4 linked regions of the Drosophila melanogaster genome follow. The gene in region 1 interacts genetically with each later gene. Each region holds a gene or a part of one and is shown on either strand. Other genes may lie near its edges.

Region 1 (4,000 bases):
AAGGAGCATAGTGTAAAGATCTGAGAGAACTCCGAGCACATGGTGTCTTTCAGGTGCTTGGCCTTAGTCTGCGTGATCTGACCCTGCGAAAAGTCGAACACCTCCTCACTAAGGTTCTTCAGGATTACCATGTTGTTCATGCACAGGCTCTCGTTCGTTTTCGACGCACCGACAATGTCACTGATGAATGTCTCCCAGTTGCGTGGCCATTCGCGCTTTAGAATGTGGACCAGAATCATGTTTAGCTTATTCAGATACACTTTGTTCTGCTCCATAACAATGGGATCCGACGAGGTCTTGATGATAAGACTGACCACATACTTCTTGATTCCCTCGCACTGGTTGCGCGGCAGGACCTTCCAGCGCGTTTTGATGACCTCCTCGAGGATTTGCAGAGCATAAAACTTGGTCCGCTGGTTCTGTGAGTACTCCAATATGCTGTCCACCCGCGTCCATGCCTCTGGATGCTCCTTCAGCGTGGTCAGTATGCTCTGGGCTAGACGCAACTGCTCGCCCTGCGCTGTGTACACAACCTCGACGATCTTGTCCAGCAGATTAATGTCCAGCTTCTGGGAGAAGTCGAGCAGCTTGCCCGCCTCGTCCGATGTCAACATTGTCGCCATCGCTTTGTAGTAGAAGCGGCGTTCGCGTCGGCGTCGCTCTGCAGTTGTGTCCGCGTTAATTTTGATAGCTTCTTGGCTTCCTCCTCCGCCGGATGAGCTCGGATCTCACGTTTTTTCCCTTTGGATTTCTTGTTTTTGCTGTTTTTTTTTTCCACTTTATTTATCGAAAGTGCGCGGCGGCTTCTGCTTCAGCTTCTTCTTCTTCGCACTATGATGACGGTGAGGAGCGGCGACTCTCGATCTGGATCGGGATCTGGATCTGGTGCCGGGACTGGACCTGAAGCTGTGGAAATAAGACCGTTGGTTATACATATTGCGTACTTTTACGCCTGTCGACAGGCAACCATATTTCTTTTTTGTTTTCTTGTTTCATTTTTTTGGAACACACAACTACAAGCGCACGCTGTTGCCTGCGCGCGCTACACTTTTTCGCACTCGCACACATACAAGCGCTCGGCACACCACACATACGCACACACTGGCACAGGCGAACGCATCGCCGCCGCAAATGCGACAAGACTGCGGCGGCATTTCCCAAATTTTCTTAGCTTTTCAAAACGCGCCAGCGAGGACGCAGTGTGTAATTAATTAACAATCATGAACATGTAATTCACATATCAAGCTTACCTTTTACCGATTCCAGAAAAGAGCAGCGTGTGAAAACGACGACGACGGACAATGCGAAATGCAATTTGTGAGAACAGTGTGCCCGTATGGTGCTGAACAAACATACGTCCACAGCCCTGGTCTACAGGCATGCACGCAAAGTGATCGATAACGTTGATCGAATAAAATAATCAAATGGCATGGATGAAGATGCTTAGTTTGTTGGCTTACTTACTGCCAGAAACATCGATGTCCCTGATATCGAAAAACATCGATGTTTTAAGCAGCGATGTTTTAAAAAAAAATACAAAAAAATATTATCTGTTTAATTTAATGGAAAAACAAACCAGTATGCATGCATGCATAAATTGACATAAATATATTTGAATTTGATCTGTTCTCCTGAATCAGCTACAAAATACTGCATCTTACTGATTTATTACATTAAAACACTAAAAGTATGCAAGTAATTCAGATAAAAGTTTAAAATAAATCATATTAATTTACTAGTGCATCGCTTATTTTCGATAATTCAAAACGAATCGATTTAATCGATGTAAGCATCATACGTAGCAGGTTCGGCGAAGAAGAAGAGCTGCGATGTCCATCTATTTGTTATGTTTGACAACAAACGGCGGATTGCCAGTGTTTACACGAAAGAAGGGAGAATGCGAAAATGTAAGAGTAACATATTGCCTACCTATTCACTTAGTTAATACCCTTTCTCCATATCCAGCTGCCCTTCTCGACGGTGGCCTCCTTAAACGGCTTTCACATGTTCTTTAAGTCGCTGGGAATCCAACTGGAGGCCACGACGACCAGCAAACAGCAGCCTATCCAGAATCAGGCTCCCGCGGATGCCGAGGAGTGGACTTACATATGGCGCGACCGGGAATCCATCACCCTGATCGTGTGCGGCTGCGGTGTTGGGTCGGAGCAACTGCTTCAGACGCTGGCTGATCTTGTCTTTGGAGCGATAGGCATGTTCATTACCCGGGCCGCAGAAATGGCACATGCAACGCTCCTCGATAGACTGAAGAAGGACGCCAAGAAGTATGTCCCGATTGTTGACGCTATTCTGGAAGCCGCCTGTGCGGGTACACAACTCCTGGGCTACACGGACTGTCTGCTGGCGGCGGAAAACGCCCAGCTGCTGCAGTGTCTAAATGAATTTAGTGGCCACTGTGGCTCGCTCTTTTGCTGCCTGGTTGTGGGACACCGTATCGCTGTGGCCACTGAGGGCTGGTGGGATCTGGACACTCGGGACCGCGAGCTGCTGCTGTTTCTGTTGAATTCGTCGAGCACAATGCAACACGATGTGCCGGTCTATTTGCCCGTGAAAAGTCCCCATATAGCCTACCGCTTTGTCAGTATTCCTGTGGCGTCGAACAGTGCTCTGTGTGTCCTGTGTGGCGCTGAGAATGCCTCGTTCCGAGAGTTGCATGCACATGCCATGAGTGCCTACCGGAATGAAGGCAACCTTTTGGCAGCCGCCGAGCGATGCGTGCCGCGCAGTCTGCCCGAGCATCTGGAGATCGATGGAAATGTGCTGGCCATCATTCTAATTAACCGACACACGCGAAAAAGTCTCTTTACCAGAAATCTAAACCAGTCGGCGAGTGTCAAGCGCATCATTGTGGGCGATCTACAGCGCTTGGACATTCTAAAGAAGTTTTTCGATCAAACTATGGATGCAGTCCACCAATTTGAAACCCAGTCGTCCAGCAATAAAACTACGTTAGTGGACCAATATAGCTGCTCGGACTACCACAAGTGCTATGCCCATATGGATGAGCTGGGCAATGTCATATTCTTGTTGTTTGTGGCAGCGGTGCCCTCGCACGCAATGAGGTGCGATTATAATTATTTACTTTGATGACAAGGTTTTAAAATCAGTATTGTATTTACAGATTCCTTGCGCAACGCATCCATGCTAATATACTCCAGGAGAAGTCAGTATGTTGGTGATACGATATTTCTTTCTAAGCCTAAAGACTGATTTTTGTTACTACTTTTCCATGAAATAATGTTTTTTTTTAAATGACATTATATTTAACGAACAATAGGGTACAACTCCTTTTCTAAAGTTAAGCGTAATTTTTGACAAATCTTATATGTATATGCTACATACTAATATGGCTTTAATGACTTACAATTCCGTCCTTACAAATACTATTTATATATTTTAAATATACAATATGTCCTTATCCTTTTATTACAACATTGTATGGGCGACAATAGACCAGTTGTTTCTTGTTTAGCTCTAAGGGCTTTATCCTTGGATCCAGAAAAAATTGTACTATAGATCCAACTGTAAGTTGTGTGGTTTCTCCTTTTGGAGGAAGAATATTGAAACTACGTCCATTATCGGAAGCCACTAGGGCAATGGTAACACCATACTGGTTTGTAACAGACAAAATTTTAGCCGTGTGAGTGGCTGCATGGTTTTTAAGTTGACGCTGATCCATTCTTACTTTTTTGAGGACTTTACGGAACTCCTCAGCATAGCCTCCTTTAACACAGCGAGGGTTTGCCTTCAAATTGACTCTATTTTGGCTACTTGGCAGATACTGCCTAGGACTTTCACTAGGAACAAGTTGAATAGCTGGAGAAGATTCGGTATAGCTATCCTCGGTCAATCCAGAGCAGTTAGATTTATTCAGCGAGCTTTGACTTAACGATTTCCAAGAAGTTTGGAATGAAGACGTTGGCAATCGTTGAGGAGTAGGTGGATCAGAGTCAATGTTCTCTGACGACCCGTTGCAGGAAGC
Region 2 (4,859 bases), on another chromosome or scaffold:
CCTGGTCAGGTGTTGAAAATCACCGCCAAGCAGCGCACTGGCGAACAGAACTTCATCGAGTGCATCCGCAAGGGCCTGGAGAACCACTACGGGGACAAGGTGGTGGGTCTGGGTGGCATTTTTCTGATCAAGAAGGGCGCTGCCCACCAGCACGTGATGCGGGACTTCAGCAAGACGCCCATCAACAGCGACGAGGAGGTGAACGAGTGGCTCAAGTTCTACGAGATGCCCGCCCAGCTGAACGCCGTGGGCACGCTGGTGACCAAGGAGCACGACCTGGACCTTCGCCTGCAGCACTTCCACTCCTTCTCCTTCAGCAACTGGGGCGGTCACTACCATTACGACACCACGCCGGATATCGTTGAGTACGAGGCCTACCTGAACGTAGCCGAACGGGTGGTGCGGGTGGATAAGCCCGTGGCCACTCACAAAGTGGGACGCGACTAGATCTTATCTGCCGTATCTAGTTGTAGCCGACTTTTCCATTGCCCCAACCCCCAATAAATAATAGTAAATAAACAAAACATAAGCTCGAAAACAGAAACAGTCTTTTTATCTGCTCAAATCCCTGTCAGGCTTAACAAATACTAAAATAGCTTATCAGCTAGCTGGCCAACCAAATTTACAAAATCTAAAATTACTTCTCTAGGTTAGTACTTTGTTATTTTGAAAACAGGTCATTATAAATAGTATATTTAATAGAAACTCAAACCAGAAAACCACATACTTTTATAAATTGGAAGCCCTGTATCAGTAGAACATTATCATGACAGGCGTTCGAATGACAGACATTTTTACCAAACGATGGTGCTTCGGTCAGTCGCTAGTTTACCTCCAGCAAGGAAAGGCCCTGAACCCGTACCGAAATATTTGCAGAGATACCATGAACGGGAGTCACCTTCAAACGGAGCAGTTGCTCTTTGAGGAGAGGCCACTCCATGTGCCGCCCCTCTCGGAACTGAAAAGAGGTGAGCACTCCCGCGTGGAATAGCTGATAAAAATAGTTCTCATCTAGCGGATACGTCAAATAAAGCTTTCCACCTGCTCTCCAGTCATACAGGGTGCTCTGGATGAGAACTTTCGGACCGTAGATGTCAGTGTGGAAGCTTGCCCGGATTTAAGGGACTCCCAGTTTGGCCTTGTGGAGCGTGGACTGGGCGGAAAGGCCACTCTCCTAGAAGCAGGAGGGCCACCCTATTTGCGGCCCTTGGTGCAGCGAGATAAGCTCTACAATCTGAAGGAGATCACTCGGCGGACCCAAGGAGCAGGAAAGATCTTTGCAGTTGGACCGGGAGCAGGTCCGTGGCCCATTCGTCACTCCAATTGCGAGGGGATCTTTAATTTCTCGCTAAACGAAGAGGATGAACTCACTCAAGGAAGCTACACGGCCACTGTGAGGGGAGCGAATGAGGATTGTGTTCTCGAAAGGATTCCCGAAACCGAATCTCGTGCTGCTCTGATCCTGAACCTCTTCCTCAGCGAGGGAAAACCAGGTCAAGTGCTCCGAATTTCCGCAAAACAGCGCACTGGAGGGGAAAACTTTGTAGAATGCATTCGCAAGGGTCTGGAACGGCACTACGGAGACCAGGTGGTGGGCTTGGGAGGAATGTTCGTGGTCAGGAGGGGATGTGTCCACCAGCACGTAATGCGAGATTTTAGCAAGACGCCCATCCACACACAGGAACAGATCCAAAACTGGTTGAAGTTCTACGAAATGCCCGCCCAGCTAAACGCAGTGGGCACCTTGGTGACCAAGGACATGGGACTGGACCTCCGCCTGCAGCACTTCCACTCGTTTTCCTTTGCAAACTGGGGAGGCCACTATCACTACGACACCACGCCGGACATTGTGGAGTACGAGGCCTATCTGAACGTGGCCGAAAGAGTGATCCGTGTGGACAGACCCGTGGCGACCGATCAGTTGGGCAGAGATTGATCTTCATCTGCTCATTTGTTCCTGCCAAAAATAAACGTCTTCGAGAAAATGGTTTCGGTTTCTGTCTGGTTTTCTCAGATTACCAAAGTGTGGCTCATGGCTCGTTGGAGCCGCATCATTTGTGGAACAGGCCCTCGAGGGCATGGGGTTTATGTAATTGCCAAAAATTAGAGCCACCGAGCCGCTTTCTTCGAGATGCAAATCGATGGCTAAATGATCTGTATAGCCAGCTGGCCGGATAGCACCTGCGATGGGAGGCTGGGATGGGTGTTCTGGAGCTTCATGCTTGGCCTAATGAGAGCTGCGATACGGACGTCTAGCTAAGCAGGCCGTAAATAATGCCCCAAACATGCAGCAATCTGTGTTTTTCTTTTTGCACCGCTGGTCATTAATTATTTAATAACTTTGATCCATGCAGAGCACACAGCGAATGCATTGGTGAATTCAGCCAGTAAAACGATCCTATGGATTTCCCCAACTGGCCGGGCGGGAGTGCTGAACCAAAACAACCCGTTTGTTGTGACAGTTACAAATCGTAGTGAAGGCATGATAGATGGACGCACAGAACTTGGACAGACAGACAGACTGACTGACTTACCCACTCACGCCGGGTGACTCTCCCTCAAAATCCTATTGTTCGTTCTTCCGCGGCTCTGCTTAACGGGTCTCCAATATTTGCATTTATTTATTCACTATTCCAGATTCTTATAACCTTTTTATGAAAGTAGCAACACTTTTGGCCGCGACGAGCACACAAACAAACACCGAACTTCCATCGATTCGATTTGATCCAATTTAATCTACCAAACAGCGCGGTGAAATGCAAATGCGATTTCTTCGTCCCACGAAAAAGAAAATCTCTTTTTGTTATTGTTACCGTTGTGGTTGTGGCATTGGTTGTTGTTGTAACCGTTTTTGTGGCTCAGGCATACTCGGTTTATTCATATTTTAAACACACCATTAGCACTTTTTATTAGCTGCCTCGGTTTGATTTACTCCACTCTACCGATCTTCACTTCGCCAGCTCGTCGACTTTAGCTTCGCGTTTGGCTTTTGGCTATAGTTTCGGTTTTGGCCTGGCTTTAACTGTGCTCTAAGCCGCGTCTGCTTGGCTGAAACGCGAGTTGCAGACTGAATGAAGTCCGCGATCAGATGGCTCGACTGCCGCTGCTGGTCGGAGTGGCTTTCCACATGGAGCTGCTGCTCTTCAGGCGCGTAGATAGCGAACTTGTTTGGGGGATTTCCACGAGCTTCGGTTCTATCCATTCATGCACTTCGAGAATCGGTAGCCCTTGGATAAGATGTCACTATCCGAGAGCTTCGGCTTCAGAAGCTATCTATGCAATGAAGTTCTGTCAGTTTGCACAAGGTAAATTAATAAAGGGAGTGTCCTAATTAAATAAGTATTAAAAAAAATATATATATGAATAATAGCATGCGTATTCGATAGATAGTAGGAACATAGCATAGTACTTTTATAATTTACGATATAGAGAATTTAAAAATGTACTAGAATAATCAGAAGCTCAATTTTTTTTATTACTGACTGATTTAGAGACTGCTAAAACGCATCGGCAATCCCCTCTAGATATCGAATCGGTTTGACAAGTCCATTGCCGCCACTGGCAGCTCAGGAAAATCAGGTTGGCTTTTCGGCTGGTCTGTTTTACAAGCGTTTTTAAATTGAAATTGTCGTTTAATCTCTAATTGGCCACATTTGCGATAGAGTTAAGAGGCCGGGCACGTCGACAAGTGCATCAAGCGAGTGCCGCGCGATTTTCCCAACCCCGAAACCAGTTCCCACACCGAAACCCAGCCAAAGTCGCTGCCAAGGCTACTTCGGGTATCCATTTCCATTAAAAGCGACACGAACTAGTTAGTCTTAGTCGCTGCTCCTGTTAGAGCACTTTGCCCAAAGGCAGATCCGACCAGGCCCACCGCCACAACCCGTTCACTGAACCACCTCCGAAGAAAGTGGCCCAAAGCTGCTGGCCGGCTTCGCGAAAATTGCATAATGATTGATGCCCCCAGGCTAACTGATGTATCGCCATTTTAATGGCTCGGCCATTTATTCTCCACTCCCTGGGCGTTTTCATTAATGTGCGATTGTTTCTTTTTCCGGCGTAGATCCGCATTGGTAAATGTGCGGTGAAATAAAACTAATGTGGAATCCGAATGGGAACTTCTGGGCCATCATTCCATTCCATGGCCCGCTCAAAACAAGTCATCACAAGTTAATCTTAAAACTAAACTGCAATTGGCCATTGCCTTCATATAGCCGATTAGTATTATCTTGTCTTGTCGTGTAATTTTATGCAAATCACCAATTCATTTCCCGCGAGAGATAAACTCACATGTTTTATGTGTAAAATAATTTACTTTACAAATTATAAGTTATCTTTTAGGCTGCTAAATATTATCTACCATCATTTCGGGATTCTATCAACTTGCTATAAATTGAGCTTAAGTGCATACTTTTGGGTAAGTTCTACAATATAAGATGAAAGGGCTTACATTCTCTTACTAATAAAACTCACCTTTCTTCCTTGAGCACCCAATAATCCAATATAGTTTGATTTATAGGTTCTTTATATATTTCTTTTGTATACATATACAGTATATATTCGCCTGCGTGTACACAACTTTAAAGGTTTACACATCTTATACTGGGCTTTAATTGAGAATACTTCAAAACGTAGCAGCTGGTGTTCGATATTGTTGAGTCTCTGGTAACTGAAAGATTGGCATAACTAAACTAAGGTTACACGAAGATCGCTAAATTACTTTGGCCTCACTCTATTTTGTGCATTGCCAGGTTAAGGATGTGGTTACAGGAGGGTCTGGATATCTATAACCAATCCAAATTGCTTATCTCCGATTTACAATAGACCCAACTGACCCAACTGACTCCCGATACAAAATT
Region 3 (7,733 bases), on another chromosome or scaffold:
GTGTACTTTCGCCGAACGATAAACTGTTAAAATTGCTGGTCAAATTGAGTTGCGGCCCATTTATTTACTTTGCATTTTATTGGCCGCTTTGCAAATTGCTCTTTAATCGTTTTTGTATATGTTTTCCTGACGTAGCGTGCTGCAGTCCAGGATCGAATCAATATTTAATGGCGACCGCGTTTCCACATTCCCAGGCGGAAGGGAGTCGTCGCTGATGGAATTCTGACTTCGTGCGCCCAATGAATCACCCCCAAAAAGGGGGGCGGCAAAGCAGCCGGATAGTGCGGAAAATGGGCAAGTGGGAACATGGGAAAGATGGGAAATGGGAGCATGGGCAGCCGGGGCGCTGGAGCGGACAATGACCACCTGACTGCGCTTCCTGTGGGAAGGTCTCGAGGAGCGGAGGAGCAGAGAGCATCCGAGAAATTACTATCAATATTGATTTTTATTCGCAGCCAGTGCCGTCTTTGTTTTTCACATATTCATGGCTCACACATTCACAAAAATGCACAGTGCGCGCTCGCTACAGTTAACTGGCAAGCAAAAGTAGTTATTTAGATTCTCAAAGGAAAGATAGTTTCAATACTGTAGTAATATTAGTAAGAACTTTAAATTCACAGTACCATTAAGGCAGCAATGTAAGGATTCTCAAAACACGTACTTTCCTGTTGGCATGTTCCCTTTATCGAGCGTGCACTGTGATTTTTCTTTGCCTTAGAAAGAATGGGAAGATGGGGGCACGGAGGATGGGCTTGAGAGGCAGGAGGAGGAGCAGGAGGCGGAGAAAGAGGACGAGCCACCACCAGCAGACAGACTGCGAAAAAAGAGACGGCAGTCACCCCAATGTCGGAATTTACTTTTGCACTAACTTGGCACTTTTAACTTTCTACTTTCTAAGGTTTCCAATACCTTTTCGCCGCCCCTCGCCACACACACTCACACACCCGCCGTTACGCGACACACACACACACACGGATGGTGGCGTGCAACAATAAATACTGATTTTGGCGATTGGTGCGCCCGAAAACACGTTGAAATGCCACCAAATTCCGCTGAGCACTGAGCACTGAAAGTCGAGTTCCTGCCGCTTCTCCAATTCGCGATGCCTAGCATTTCTCTACGTCTCGTCCTTCGTCCTGTCGGCCGATAAATCGCGATTGCCGAGCATGCGCGTGCTGCCAGCCAAGTGGGTTGTCAGCAAAGGCGATGAAATTATAGCCGCAATTGGCCCTTACAAGACTGGTGCGCAAATCTTGCGGCAACACATTTCAATTTGCGCTTTTTCGAGTCCGCCGTTGAAAGTCAAACAAATGCGCGTCTTGTCGTTTGGAACAGCTGATTGCCAGGTGCTTCTTCTTCTGCGAGTGCCAGCCACTGGGAAGCAGTGTTGCAAAGGGACGGTAGAGGTAAATAACAGGCGCTACAAATTTAAAATTTAAATGCAAAGTGTTCTCACGTACATGTTTATTCAAAGCACTCAATAATAGTATGTACTTACTTTAATAACTAAATATTATATGCACATTGGACAATGAATTATTACTTATTTATTTATTTTGTAACCAATCTTTAAGTCAAATGGGAGGATGTATATATATGTTTCATTCTCCGCTCGTAAATTATTATTGGAGACGTGCAGATAAAATAAAAGCAAACCCGTTCACATCGAAGCTCGCCTGGTGTGACCATCCACGCTGGTCAAACTACTTTGCGCACGCCATGGTCGCACTGCTCGCAGCAAGCCAGGCTTGGCATTCAAATTTCGATCGCGACGAGCAACAGGTGCGATTTTTGGCATTCCGGTTCGCAGTGCAGCGCATTTCTCCCACTTGGCGCCCTAAAAAATCGGCCGGGGGCAAAAACCATAAACCATGGTGTATATCGTGTGTGCAAGTTGACTTTCACTGCGGGTCAATTCAGAGATCGGGATCCCAGGCGACGTTCGTCTTTAATTAAGGCGCTTCGCACGCGTTGTCGTCGTTGTTTTAGCTCCAATTTAGCTGCTTTAGCCGTTTTATCTGCTTGGTAGTTTTGGCCAAGTAGAAGAGGGGCTCCGCTGCGAACGTGTTTACGATTTTCTGTGCGATCCCAAGCTGCGATTCGAATGCGAGCTTCGCGTTTTCGCACTCGAAACTTCTTTTCGTCTATTTCTCACCCAGAAAACACAATCGCAGTAGACTTTTGAGTTGATTTTAGTGAGAAGAGGCAGTAAAAGAGCCATGAAAAATATGGCAAGAGATAAAAAAACAGACAAAAACAGAAGAAGCAGAGGGCGACACTGTGCGGAGTACCGTTAATGCGCGAGTAACTATTTAATCATGATTTAAATAATGAGGAATTCGCGCTCGTAATTGATTTAAGTAGCGCTCGGCATTTGCATAATTTTCCCCATACGAACACACACACTTGCAAGCCTGGAAAATCCGTTTTTCCTCTGCAGCAGCAGCGGCAGCACAACAAGTGCACATGTGTAGGGGTGTGCAGCCGTGCACGGCATGCATGCATGTGGCCGAGTGCAGGTGTATTGGTGCTGTTGTGAACCTAAATGGACAAGTTAGAATCCACATTCCACAACAATGGCCAAGAAAACGGCCGCCGATCTATCAGTTCCTTGGGCAAATCCAAAGATAATTGCAGCGCGGCGCTCCATTCGCAATTTACTCCACAGCCTGTGCAGAAAACAAATGGTTGCTCACAGGCTCAAGATTAGAACAATCTGAGGATCGGTGCTCTCTTTTGTGGAACAAATCTTTAAGTGTACACATGGCTATTGAACTAAATCTATAACCGGTGGCCTTAATTATCATGACAATGAACTACAAAAAAGTCAACGAAAATAGCATGAACCTTTTAGAAGAAGCTGTAGGAAAAAAGTCGCGGCATAATTAGAACGAGCGAAAGGTTGCACAGTGGGTTAAAGGTGGTGGTTTGGGTTAAGAAAGAATCGGTGGAGAAAATGGAAAACACAAATCCTGTGTTACCTGTCCGTCTAGTGCGGAATGCCGACTGTGTGGAAAGAGCTCAGAAAAGACTGCTGGGAATTAATTAATTGTTGTATTTGTAACCTTCGAAGGCAGATCACTATATTTAGGCCAATAAAATCTTGAGAATTTCACGCAAATTCATTCATATCAGCCACATTTTACACAAAAAAGGTTCGTTTATTATTGAAAAACTGAGAGAAAATTGGGAAACGCTGTAGGCTATACATATATCTAATGCTTCTTTCGAAGCTTAGATGAATCCAACCCGAATTGATGATTGGTTTGTTATTGTTTTTTCGAGCACCAAGCTTCCGATCTATTTTGAGAACCTTGAAACCAAGCTAATTTGCTTACGAAACGAATATATCTCCTTTAGAACACAATGTAACCAAGTGGGCCCCATCCGTTTGGTCAGATATTGTATCTACCCTCCATATATATTCCGAACCCACTTAGCCGCACAGCCGTCCGCCCACGAAGCCGCAGTAAGCAACTGTAAACGGGGGAAAGGCCAGAAGAAAGAGCACAATTTTCAAAGAATTCATAAGCACGCGCTAATGCGAATACTAATGTCATGCGGGCTCCATCTCCATCTCTCTGCTGACCAGTATCCACTGGCCCCTGTCGTCCCACCTAACCACCAGACCACCGCCCAACTCCAAAATCCCACCCCCCCCCCGCCCGACCACCGCCTGTTACCTGTGCGTAAGGTGTGTGGAAGCACCTGTTGTTGAACAACATAACCGTGCGTGCCCGGCCGTTCGTGTTGCGTCTTATTAGAAGCCGCATTCGGTGGCCCCTGGGCCAGTCGGTAGAAACAGAGAAAAACAAGAAAGAAAAACAGGGGAAACGAAAAACAGACTTGGCCAAAAGAAGCGAGAAACACAGCGCTGAAAACCGGTTGACGTGGAAATGAAAGAAAACCTTTTGCATTTACAGTCAAGCTTCGGGAAGGGAAATTAATTTGAGTCGAAATATTGGTACAACTTCTCGCGCCTTTTCAATTTAAAGCAAAGATATCTCCAGAAAACAAAGGTTTATAAAAATAGATGGATAGTTGTTCCAATATATAATCAAATAATAAAACCCCCAAATTTGCTTTTTCACTTCATATTTCTTTAGTTCAAGCTAACGAAGTTTGACTGTAGCACTTGCCGTATGTTAAAACTGATGTCGCTGAATAGTTGGATTTTTCTCTTTTTCCACAGATCGAATTTGGTGAAATCAATGCGTAGAAAGTGAAACGAGATTCAGACAAAGTTGGGGGAAAAGTGAAAAGCTGCGGAAAACTTGGCTAACCAAACAAACACATTTGAACACACTTGCGTTGGGCGGATTGAGATTTCGTGCTCCTCCAACCGATTTGCCTGGCCAGGAGCTGCAGTTGGAGCTGGAGCTGGAGCCAGAGCCACAATCAAACACCTGGGCGAGCGGCGGCCCACCTGCCGGCTTAGATGCGTCTAATCCAAACGGCAACCGGCGGTGCTGCTGCGTCCGTTCTGCAGACCCACTCCCAGGCGCAGTACAACTACACCAGCATGCGTGAAGATGATATCGAGCTGGCCATTAAAGTGGTAAGTTGCCCAGCCGGCTGCGTGAATCTCTGTCATTCGGATGATGAATGGTTGAAATGAGTGCACTGCAAGAAAAAAAGATGGCTACTATTAAACCAAACCCACATATACAATTGATTATATATCGTATCAAGAAGAGTTCTGCATATCCCAAAATGGAATGACTTCTTTCCAATATTAGTATATTAATCAACTTCCATATGTTAAAGCATCAGATCATCTAATAGTTTTTCTATATATTTTTATAAACTTCTAACTAGTTCTAAATAATAACTTTCTGTGTAATTTTCCCTCGCCAAGTGTTGTGAATGGCACCTGTAAGATAAAATCCGATGGAAATGTCTGTTGCTAATGGCGAAACTGCACGAATTAAGATTCTAGTTCAATTAGGGTTCTCCTCTCCCTAAATAAAGTTGTTTCTAATGGTTTTTCTGGAATTGTTTCAAATTGATTTATATGATTATTTCCGAATGTGTCTTTCTGCAGACAAGCCAAATTTGATTGACATTTACGCGCTTAATTAACTTAAATGGCTAACCGTTTTAAATGTCCAGTAGAAAGCACATAAATATTGTGAACAGTTAATTTTCTCTCCTTCTGGTGAATAACAAAACGCTTTTTTGCTTATGATTGAAATAGCAAAACATAACGTAAGACTTTTGTTTTGAAATATGAACTAATAACAACTCTGGTATTTTCCATAGGTCATTGTTGGAAATGGCGGCGTTGGCAAGTCATCAATGATCCAGCGCTATTGCAAAGGCATTTTCACGAAGGACTACAAGAAAACGATTGGAGTGGACTTCCTAGAGCGACAGATCGAGATCGACGGCGAGGATGTGCGCATCATGCTGTGGGACACCGCCGGCCAGGAGGAGTTCGACTGCATCACAAAGGCGTACTACCGCGGCGCCCAGGCTTCCGTCCTGGTCTTTTCGACGACGGATCGAGCATCCTTCGACGCGATCAAGGATTGGAAGCGCAAGGTGGAGAACGAGTGCAACGAGATACCCACAGTGATTGTGCAGAACAAGATCGATCTTATCGAACAGGCGGTGGTTACGGCCGACGAGGTGGAGACGCTGGCCAAGCTCCTCAACTGCCGGCTCATCCGCACCTCCGTCAAGGAGGACATTAACGTGGCGTCCGTGTTTCGCTACCTGGCCACCAAGTGCCATCAGCTAATGACCCAGAGCTACGACCAGGTGGCCGGAAACCAGCAAAACTCCAGCCATCCGCCTTACAGCAGCACGCCCACGATCAGCGCCTTCAGCCCGACCTTCACAAAGTCCAGCAGCGGCACCATCGTCCTCCGTCCGGCGAAGAAGGGCCATGGCTCCAGCGTGGCCCGAAAGCGAAAGATAGTGCTCAAGAAATGCGGAATATTGTGAGGAGTTGTCGGATTAGCTGGTTAGATGGCGGCAGGGGCGACTCGGCTGGCAATTAATATCTGGAGCATATTTAACGCCTAATTATTTTGGAGCCTAATGATGTTGTGGCCGGGTGGCCAGCCAACCGTTGGATGCAACCACAGCCATTCACTAGTCGTGCACAGACTCCGCGTGATGTGGTTCAGACATGCTTACGGAACAGAAAAAATAATCGGAGGCAGCAAATTGGATCTTCTGGATCCCCACGAAGATGAGATACCCTTGCGGTCGAACTGAGGAACTAAATATTTGATTTACACTGCACAACGGAAAGTTTTCACCATCTTTCGGGCCGGTTCCGATATCTCACAAAAATGTATTCATCTTTGGTTTTTAAAACTACGATTTTTAATATACAGATTTAAATTCTATGCCGGATATTGTTCTTGAACACGAAAATTATAAGAAACACCCAAATCATTTAAGACACCATAGAATAAGCTAACTTTTCGGTGTATTATTTTAACTGCAACTATTTAATACTCCTGTTTATATTTACCATATATAGAACGTATATACAGACCCAATACTCACTTGGCCACACGAGCCATTAGACCAAAACCATAGCACCCGATCTGCACGGGTAGATGATGAGTTCTCGAAACCATAGACAATATGCACGAGCACTGGCAGTTTCTCAAAAATTTCCACAATTAGTTATAGATACGAAATCAAATTTGTATGTATGTATTATGCCCGCTTTTCTATAACGGAGACTGAAGCAACTTTGCTTTCATATCGAATATGTTTGTATATAGGGGTTAGCTCCCTAACCAAGCAGAATTAAAAGGCTATTTATCACGCTACCAAGCCCAGATCACAGGTCCATGTGAAATCCCTTTGCCAATTCGCGTTGGCCAAATGTGCAATTAAACATTCAGCTTTTATAATTATTAACTAATTGCAAGTCATGCCAGAGCGCAATTTGACGCGATTCATGTAGACCAGTGCTGCTCGCATTCTATGCAAAAAACTGCAGATAGAGCACAGTGAAACTCGTGAAGCATGTAACATGTAAGCCGAATAGGAGTTTAGAAATAACTAATAAATAATAAATAACCCTAAGCCCATTAATATTCTATTTATGCATGTAATGATCCATTAATATGTTTACTTAATAAATTATTTTATGTAAATTAAGTCGATTGTTGTGCAATTGGGATTCACTTTTGGAAAGTCAGCGGGCAGGAATTTGATGAAGTGGGTTCGAAATTAAAGTAGCATAATGGGTTAAGATGTCATGGGTTAAAACAGCAGTCGTAGTTTTGAAATGTTTACCATTTTTTATTTGATTTTTGATTTTACACTTTTTTTGTAAGCTTGACAATTTTGCGATCCGCTTCTGTTACACCATCGTTTAAACGTTTCCACATTTAAATCGTTTAAACTATTTTAAATATATAATATTTCTTTCTTTATATTTACAATGCGCGTTGAAAAACTATCGCTTCGCAACGCATAAATCATTAAATGTGTATATATCTATTTTGTTGTAATTTTCAAGTGTTTCCTTGTATTAATAAAGGCATAAATAACTATTCGTCAATTTCCATTCTTATTTATTTACACAAAGTCGAAAAATCAAAATATCTTAGATATAGGCAAGGAGAGAGAGTAGAAAGTTCGATTTCTGGAGGGTCAGGGGAAGAGAGTGGTAAAAGCTGAGCATAAAACTGTGTTTTTCGCAGGCTGAGCCCAAAAGATTGTGTTTCTTGTTTCTTTGTGTGTTTGGGTTGTGTTTTGTT
Region 4 (5,186 bases), on another chromosome or scaffold:
GTAGAGCTTGTTCTCCAGACTTCGGAAGGCCATGTTCATTTCATCTGCACACAAAGCATAAATAGTTTCAAGATCAAACGGGCAAGAGACCACTGACCACCCACCTGATCCACACACTCCCTTAAGGGTTTTTGTGGTGACAGCCTCGGCAGATGCCTTCACCTCCCCCGCAGTCACAGTGCAAACAGCTTTCTGCACTTCGCTGGGCAGTTTTGGAGCAGCTTCTGTATCCAAGGGATTCCCGGTGACGTTGAACAGTCCACTGCCCGATTCCTCCTCCGTCGCCATCGCCGTGGAGCAGAGAACAAGACACAGCATCCACGTAGCTGTCATCATATCCATCCACCAAGAATCCTCTTCTGTTGAAACACCCAAACACAACTGTCGACGAATCTTGGGAAATTGGCAATTTGGGGAGCACCACCTTGAGCCACTCGTTCACGTGGATTTATTGGTCGGCGTGTCTTTTGACTTCTGGTGCGTGGAACTACTTTTAGAATGGGACCCTCCCACCAAACTCTAAAAATAGTGTACACTTTTGATGGCTTCTCTAGTACGAACTATGAATGAATGAAACACATTCGCACGATGTTTGTGTTCCTCTTGAAATACCTTCATACATACATATTTATTCGCTGCGTTTCAGAGGAAATGTACATATTTTTCAATTTCTTAGAGTTTTGGCAAGCTTGCGCTTTTCGAATTTTGAAAATACAAAATTGCACTTCCCCTAAATCAAATGCTTTCGTAATAGAATTGCTGAAAATGATTAATTATGCATTCTTAAATATAATTTTAAAAAATTGTTTGAATGCCTATATAAAAGTAATTTGTTTAGTTAAAACCACATTTTAAATATTTGTGTTTATATTATAGCAAGAATTCTACGCATAGCCAGTATCTAAGTTGGTAGTATCCTTCCAAGATGTCATCCCATTGAGAAGAAGGACAACCGGAAGGCCATTTCGACTATGTTCTGGGGAACATCGGACCGGTGACACACGTACACTTCCTTGGCTGGCGACTGAAAGAGACGACCAACCACCACGAAGCGACTGCTCGTCGAGGATTGGGATTGCCCGTCCGACTTGGGTTGCGTGCTGACCTCCAGGATCATGCCGTGCTCCTTGACCAGCGACACTGTGTGGCTACTGTGCCCGTTCGAGTTCGTCTGTGCTCTCGAGGATTCCGATAGATGCCTGCGATAGTGCTTGGATTTCTGCAGCACGGCGTGGATTATGTGACACGCCTGACGAATCTCGGAGAGGTAGTTGGAGTTCTCGGAGCTGTCGGTAAATGGCGCAAACAAGGACCCATTGGCTATGTCAATGTAGACGTAGTGCAGAACGGAATTCTTCCAGCCAGCGGATATCTTGACCGGCACCACGTTGTTGATCTCCTTCCACATGGACTCTGTCATTTGGCTCTGACTGTGGCTCTCGGCCCCGAGATTCAGTCCATAGTGAAGTGGATGCTGTACGGCGAAGTTCTCCCAGTCGGAACCGCTGTCTGAGTCCTCGGCAGTACCATGGATGGGGGTCAATCGCCTGCGACAGGACTCGTCCTCACTGGGAGTCAGACTATGTATGGAAGACCCACCCAGGGACGAGCACAGTTGGGCTTCCTCCTCCACCGAAGGACTCAGCACGGTTAGCTTCTGCTTGAGGAAGGACTCCAGTCGGTTGTTCGGCTCCTTCTCCTGATCTCTACTCTCGCTGGCAGTGGCGTCCAGCACCTCGGGTCTCTTATTGGAAACGGACCAGAACATGGCCAGGGATTCAATGCCGCACTGTACTAGGTGGTCCAGCGTCTCTTGAATCTCCTCGATGTAAAAGAGCGATGGACCCACCACCGCATCCGGCGCCATGTCTGGAGCATCGAAGATCTTCAAGATCACGGCCAGACTCAAGTGGTTCTTGGTGCAGATGGTAAGGAAATATCGCCCTGTGGCACTGGGCAACACTATCTCCTCCCACACGTACATCTCGCGAACTTTGATTCCCGGAGCAGCTCCGAGCAACTCGAAGATTCCGCGGCAGCGCAGGAATCCTTCTACACTCACCCTCACTTCCGGTGGCAGCAGGCTGGCCACCAGGAAGCCATCGTAGTACAGCGCACTGCCGTAGATGAAGAACTCGCGATGGGTGGTGAGTGGCTCGTCGTTCCAGTTGCGATAGTCCATGGCCTCCATTTCACTCAGAGCATCAAAGATGCGCAGCTGCGCTTCCTTTGGCAGTGGCAGGCTGCGGGATTGGCCCAGGAGCTCCTCGAAACGAATATGACCATGGCATCTGGCTACGAGCCGGGTTCTCTGGATTTCGCAAAAGTGTCGAAGGAACAGCTTCAGTCTCGAACTATTCCCCGGCTCTCTCTCCTGATTAAAGCTCTCCAGGACCAAGCCCGGCAGAGAGAAGCGTATGTATCCGATTAGCTCATCCGATCGCAGGCTGCACTCCGCCGCACAGCAGAGTCCTCCGGCGTAGGCGAAGAGGACTAGGAACCCATTCAGTTGGCGGTAGTTGACGTGGTATTGCACCTGATCCACCAGCAGCCTTGAACTCAGCGGCTGGGTGTGCAGTTCACTGAGTACGGCGTGCAGGGTGAGGAAACTCCCACGGGCCTTGAATAGGAAGTTGTCGGGGATTTCCGGAAAGTAGTAGAGGGAATCCTGTTGCTGTTCATGCTGATAGCACTCCGGTGGGAGTAGCAGCATAGCAAAGGGCATTCTTATGTCCACGGAACTACCGGGAATACCGAAGTTCCCCTCCGTTATCAACATCTGCTCAAACTTCTCCGTGAACATGGGAAAGTTCTCCACCTTGCACACCTGCTCCTCGCGGACATTTCGATTATACCCCGGATCGGTGGGCGAAACTGCACTGGCCGCACCGCACGACTGGAAGCCTAGGCACACCTGAGTGGGCTCCACGAACTGCTTGAGCAACTCATCCACATTGCTGGCGTACACCTCTATGCCATTCAGGGATCTAAACCAATCTCCCCGCTTGATGCCGTGCTGCAGCGCACTCACATCGTGAACGAACCCATCGACCATCAGGCATTCTGGTTGGTCCGGAAAGGGCAGGACCCGGAAGCCCAGTATGGACTCCACCGCCGTGGATCGTCGTCCGAAACGGAAGCGATCAGCGGCTGTGATCACCAGATCCAGTTTCTTGGGATCGGGGGCAGCCGTCTTGAACTGTGAGAAGCGGAACTCTTGCGGCTCCGTCTGGCTATCCAACCTGCTCGGGCCGTGGGACTGGTTTTGGTTCTGACTCTGATTCTGATTATTGCTGTGCGGCTGGCGACGCGACGACTTCTTTCCCAGGCGCAGCGATCGACGCATGAACTCCACCCGCCGCTCTGCCGAGACGCCAGTCTTCTCACATCGCACATACTCCATGTAGAAGAGACTGCCGTCTGTGGACACGTACTCCTCCCAGTTGGCCAGGTCGCTGCCATCGCTGTACGAGTTGCTCAGCGAGGAGTTCGAACTGGAGAAGGCCTCCGACGGCAGGCTGGCCGGCGATTTGCGCATAGTTTACCGGGGATAGTTAACTGGGCGGATAGTTATTAGTGGCCTACTATTCCAGGTACACACTCAACTATCTGCCGCCGGTTGATACCGCCTCAGCTCAGCTCTGAATGTCGACTGAAAGCCGAGATCCGATCTCAGCACTCAAAACCAGTTTCTAATTGAGCTCTGGCTCCGACCAGCTCAATACCACTCCACTCAAATTCCAGCGGGAAACGATCCACTCCCTTTGTGATCTGGTTCTCTTTCAAGCTGGGGAAACTCAAAACCCACCGTGGGTTAAGACAAGTATAGTTACCATAATACAATAACCAATTTCTTTTCTTTTTATAAGTGTTCGCATTTAACGATTGGACTGCTAACCAGTTGATTTCAGCGTGATATTAAGTTATAAATAATAATCATGGAAAATCCTTATAAAAATAGAGCTCCGTCTGCGATATGCTGACTCTGCACAAAGTCGCATTGAAGATTTGGTGGAACTTAAAGCAAAATTGGTGTGCTATCATAAGGATTGTGTTAATCAGCGGAAGATTAGTAAAATGTTGCTTCCTCAATGGGTATCCGATGATCATTTGTCATAGGAGACTACCGCTGAAGTCCTATCTCCCAATAAATTATTTTACGGCCAATAAACTGTGTATGCATGATATGAAGGGAATTGATATAATTAATTGGGCATTTGTGGACCCGGGTGTTTTAGTGGCCACCTTTTCGTATCGCCGATGGTCTGATAATCTAAGATTTTCCAAGTGATTTTTTTCATATCGGTCTCCGGACTGGACGCCGTAAATCAAAACTTTTCTATCTGCAAACAATCGAGTAGTATAGAAAATTGTGTCTCACTGAACTCACTATGTGCTGGCCAAAAGCGAGCCGTGGCTATATCGGTTGATCCGGAGCACCGATCCCATTGAAGTACGGGCCTAATAGCCGTACTCCGACGTCCAGATAATTATCCGATAAGGAACATGGCGTGGGCGTGAAGCGGGACGCCCAGTGCCACCGAAAAAGCGATACGCTGATAGTCCCGGGCCATTCAAGGGAAGATATTGCCAAAATTGATAAGCCGTATCATGGCAGAATTAGCCGCACATGTGTACCGCAGCTACCTATTATTTCTGCTGACCATCGGAGCAAGCTGAGTCCTCCAGCCAGTCCATTGCGCGAATCCAAGGCGTGTGCTTCGCCCAGCCGCAAATAAAGTGATTTGCGGGAAATGTCGGCCGCGGTTAACTATCACAAAATGTGGCTTAGATTTCGGAATACCCAGTGAAACTGAATGAGTGGCTAAAAATTGTATAGAACGCGATTATCTGTGTGATTGTGAAATCAAACAGCTGTCAAATCTTATTTATAATCCCCCATTACAAGCACTATAGGTGCGCAATTCAGTGAATATGTGTCCAAAATATATATGGGATGTGATCGTATTAGTATGCCTGTTCCTTGGAAACGTAAGGGAAGCATACACCGAGTTTTCGATCCAGGATGGCTTGATAATAGAACCAGATTCAGCCACAACATCCAGCGAAGAGGCCGAAGAGGTCAGCAAGGAGAGAACGGACCTCAAATCCCTCATGTTGAAGTACGAATCGGATGATGGGAACAGTTGTCTGCTGGATCTGATCAAGGACGAGGTGATATGGTG

What was found.
Region 2: of fy (region 1) and mwh, changing one enhances a phenotype caused by changing the other (phenotypic enhancement), as found in Drosophila melanogaster (one study listed by BioGRID).
Region 3: of fy (region 1) and Rab23, changing one enhances a phenotype caused by changing the other (phenotypic enhancement), as found in Drosophila melanogaster (one study listed by BioGRID).
Region 4: of fy (region 1) and in, changing one enhances a phenotype caused by changing the other (phenotypic enhancement), as found in Drosophila melanogaster (2 studies listed by BioGRID).

Annotation. Positions count from the first base shown.
Region 1 is NT_033779.5:8,400,911-8,404,910, reverse strand, and holds fy (fuzzy), read left to right. Parts: upstream 1-1,630; 5' UTR 1,631-1,829; coding exon 1,830-1,907; intron 1,908-1,965; coding exon 1,966-3,080; intron 3,081-3,139; coding exon 3,140-3,197; 3' UTR 3,198-3,433; downstream 3,434-4,000. Other genes in the region: emb (embargoed), read right to left, coding at 1-623; CG31898 (uncharacterized protein), read right to left, coding at 3,434-4,000. UniProt on the Drosophila melanogaster protein: Plays a role in the organization of cell polarity via a planar cell polarity (PCP) cascade. Involved in the development of the hairs on the wings.
Region 2 is NT_037436.4:1,198,991-1,203,849, reverse strand, and holds the start of mwh (multiple wing hairs), read right to left. Parts: upstream 3,065-4,859; 5' UTR 2,535-3,064; intron 1,980-2,534; exon of another isoform or gene 1,937-1,979; coding exon of another isoform or gene 1,053-1,936; intron 969-1,052; coding exon of another isoform or gene 884-968; exon of another isoform or gene 814-883; intron 535-813; exon of another isoform or gene 448-534; coding exon of another isoform or gene 1-447. Other genes in the region: CG9119 (uncharacterized protein), read left to right, coding at 1-447; meep, read left to right, coding at 884-968, 1,053-1,936.
Region 3 is NT_033777.3:5,679,447-5,687,179, reverse strand, and holds Rab23 (Rab23), read left to right. Parts: upstream 1-1,745; 5' UTR 1,746-1,782; intron 1,783-4,192; 5' UTR 4,193-4,438; coding exon 4,439-4,558; intron 4,559-5,262; coding exon 5,263-5,949; 3' UTR 5,950-7,126; downstream 7,127-7,733.
Region 4 is NT_037436.4:20,365,668-20,370,853, reverse strand, and holds in (inturned), read right to left. Parts: upstream 3,657-5,186; 5' UTR 3,539-3,656; coding exon 929-3,538; 3' UTR 595-928; downstream 1-594. Other genes in the region: CG13247 (uncharacterized protein), read right to left, coding at 1-44, 105-342; Toll-9, read left to right, coding at 4,936-5,186. UniProt on the Drosophila melanogaster protein: Plays a role in the definition of cell polarity via the planar cell polarity (PCP) cascade. Acts downstream of fuz and accumulates asymmetrically in wing cells to regulate planar polarity in the wing. Probably acts by regulating ciliogenesis.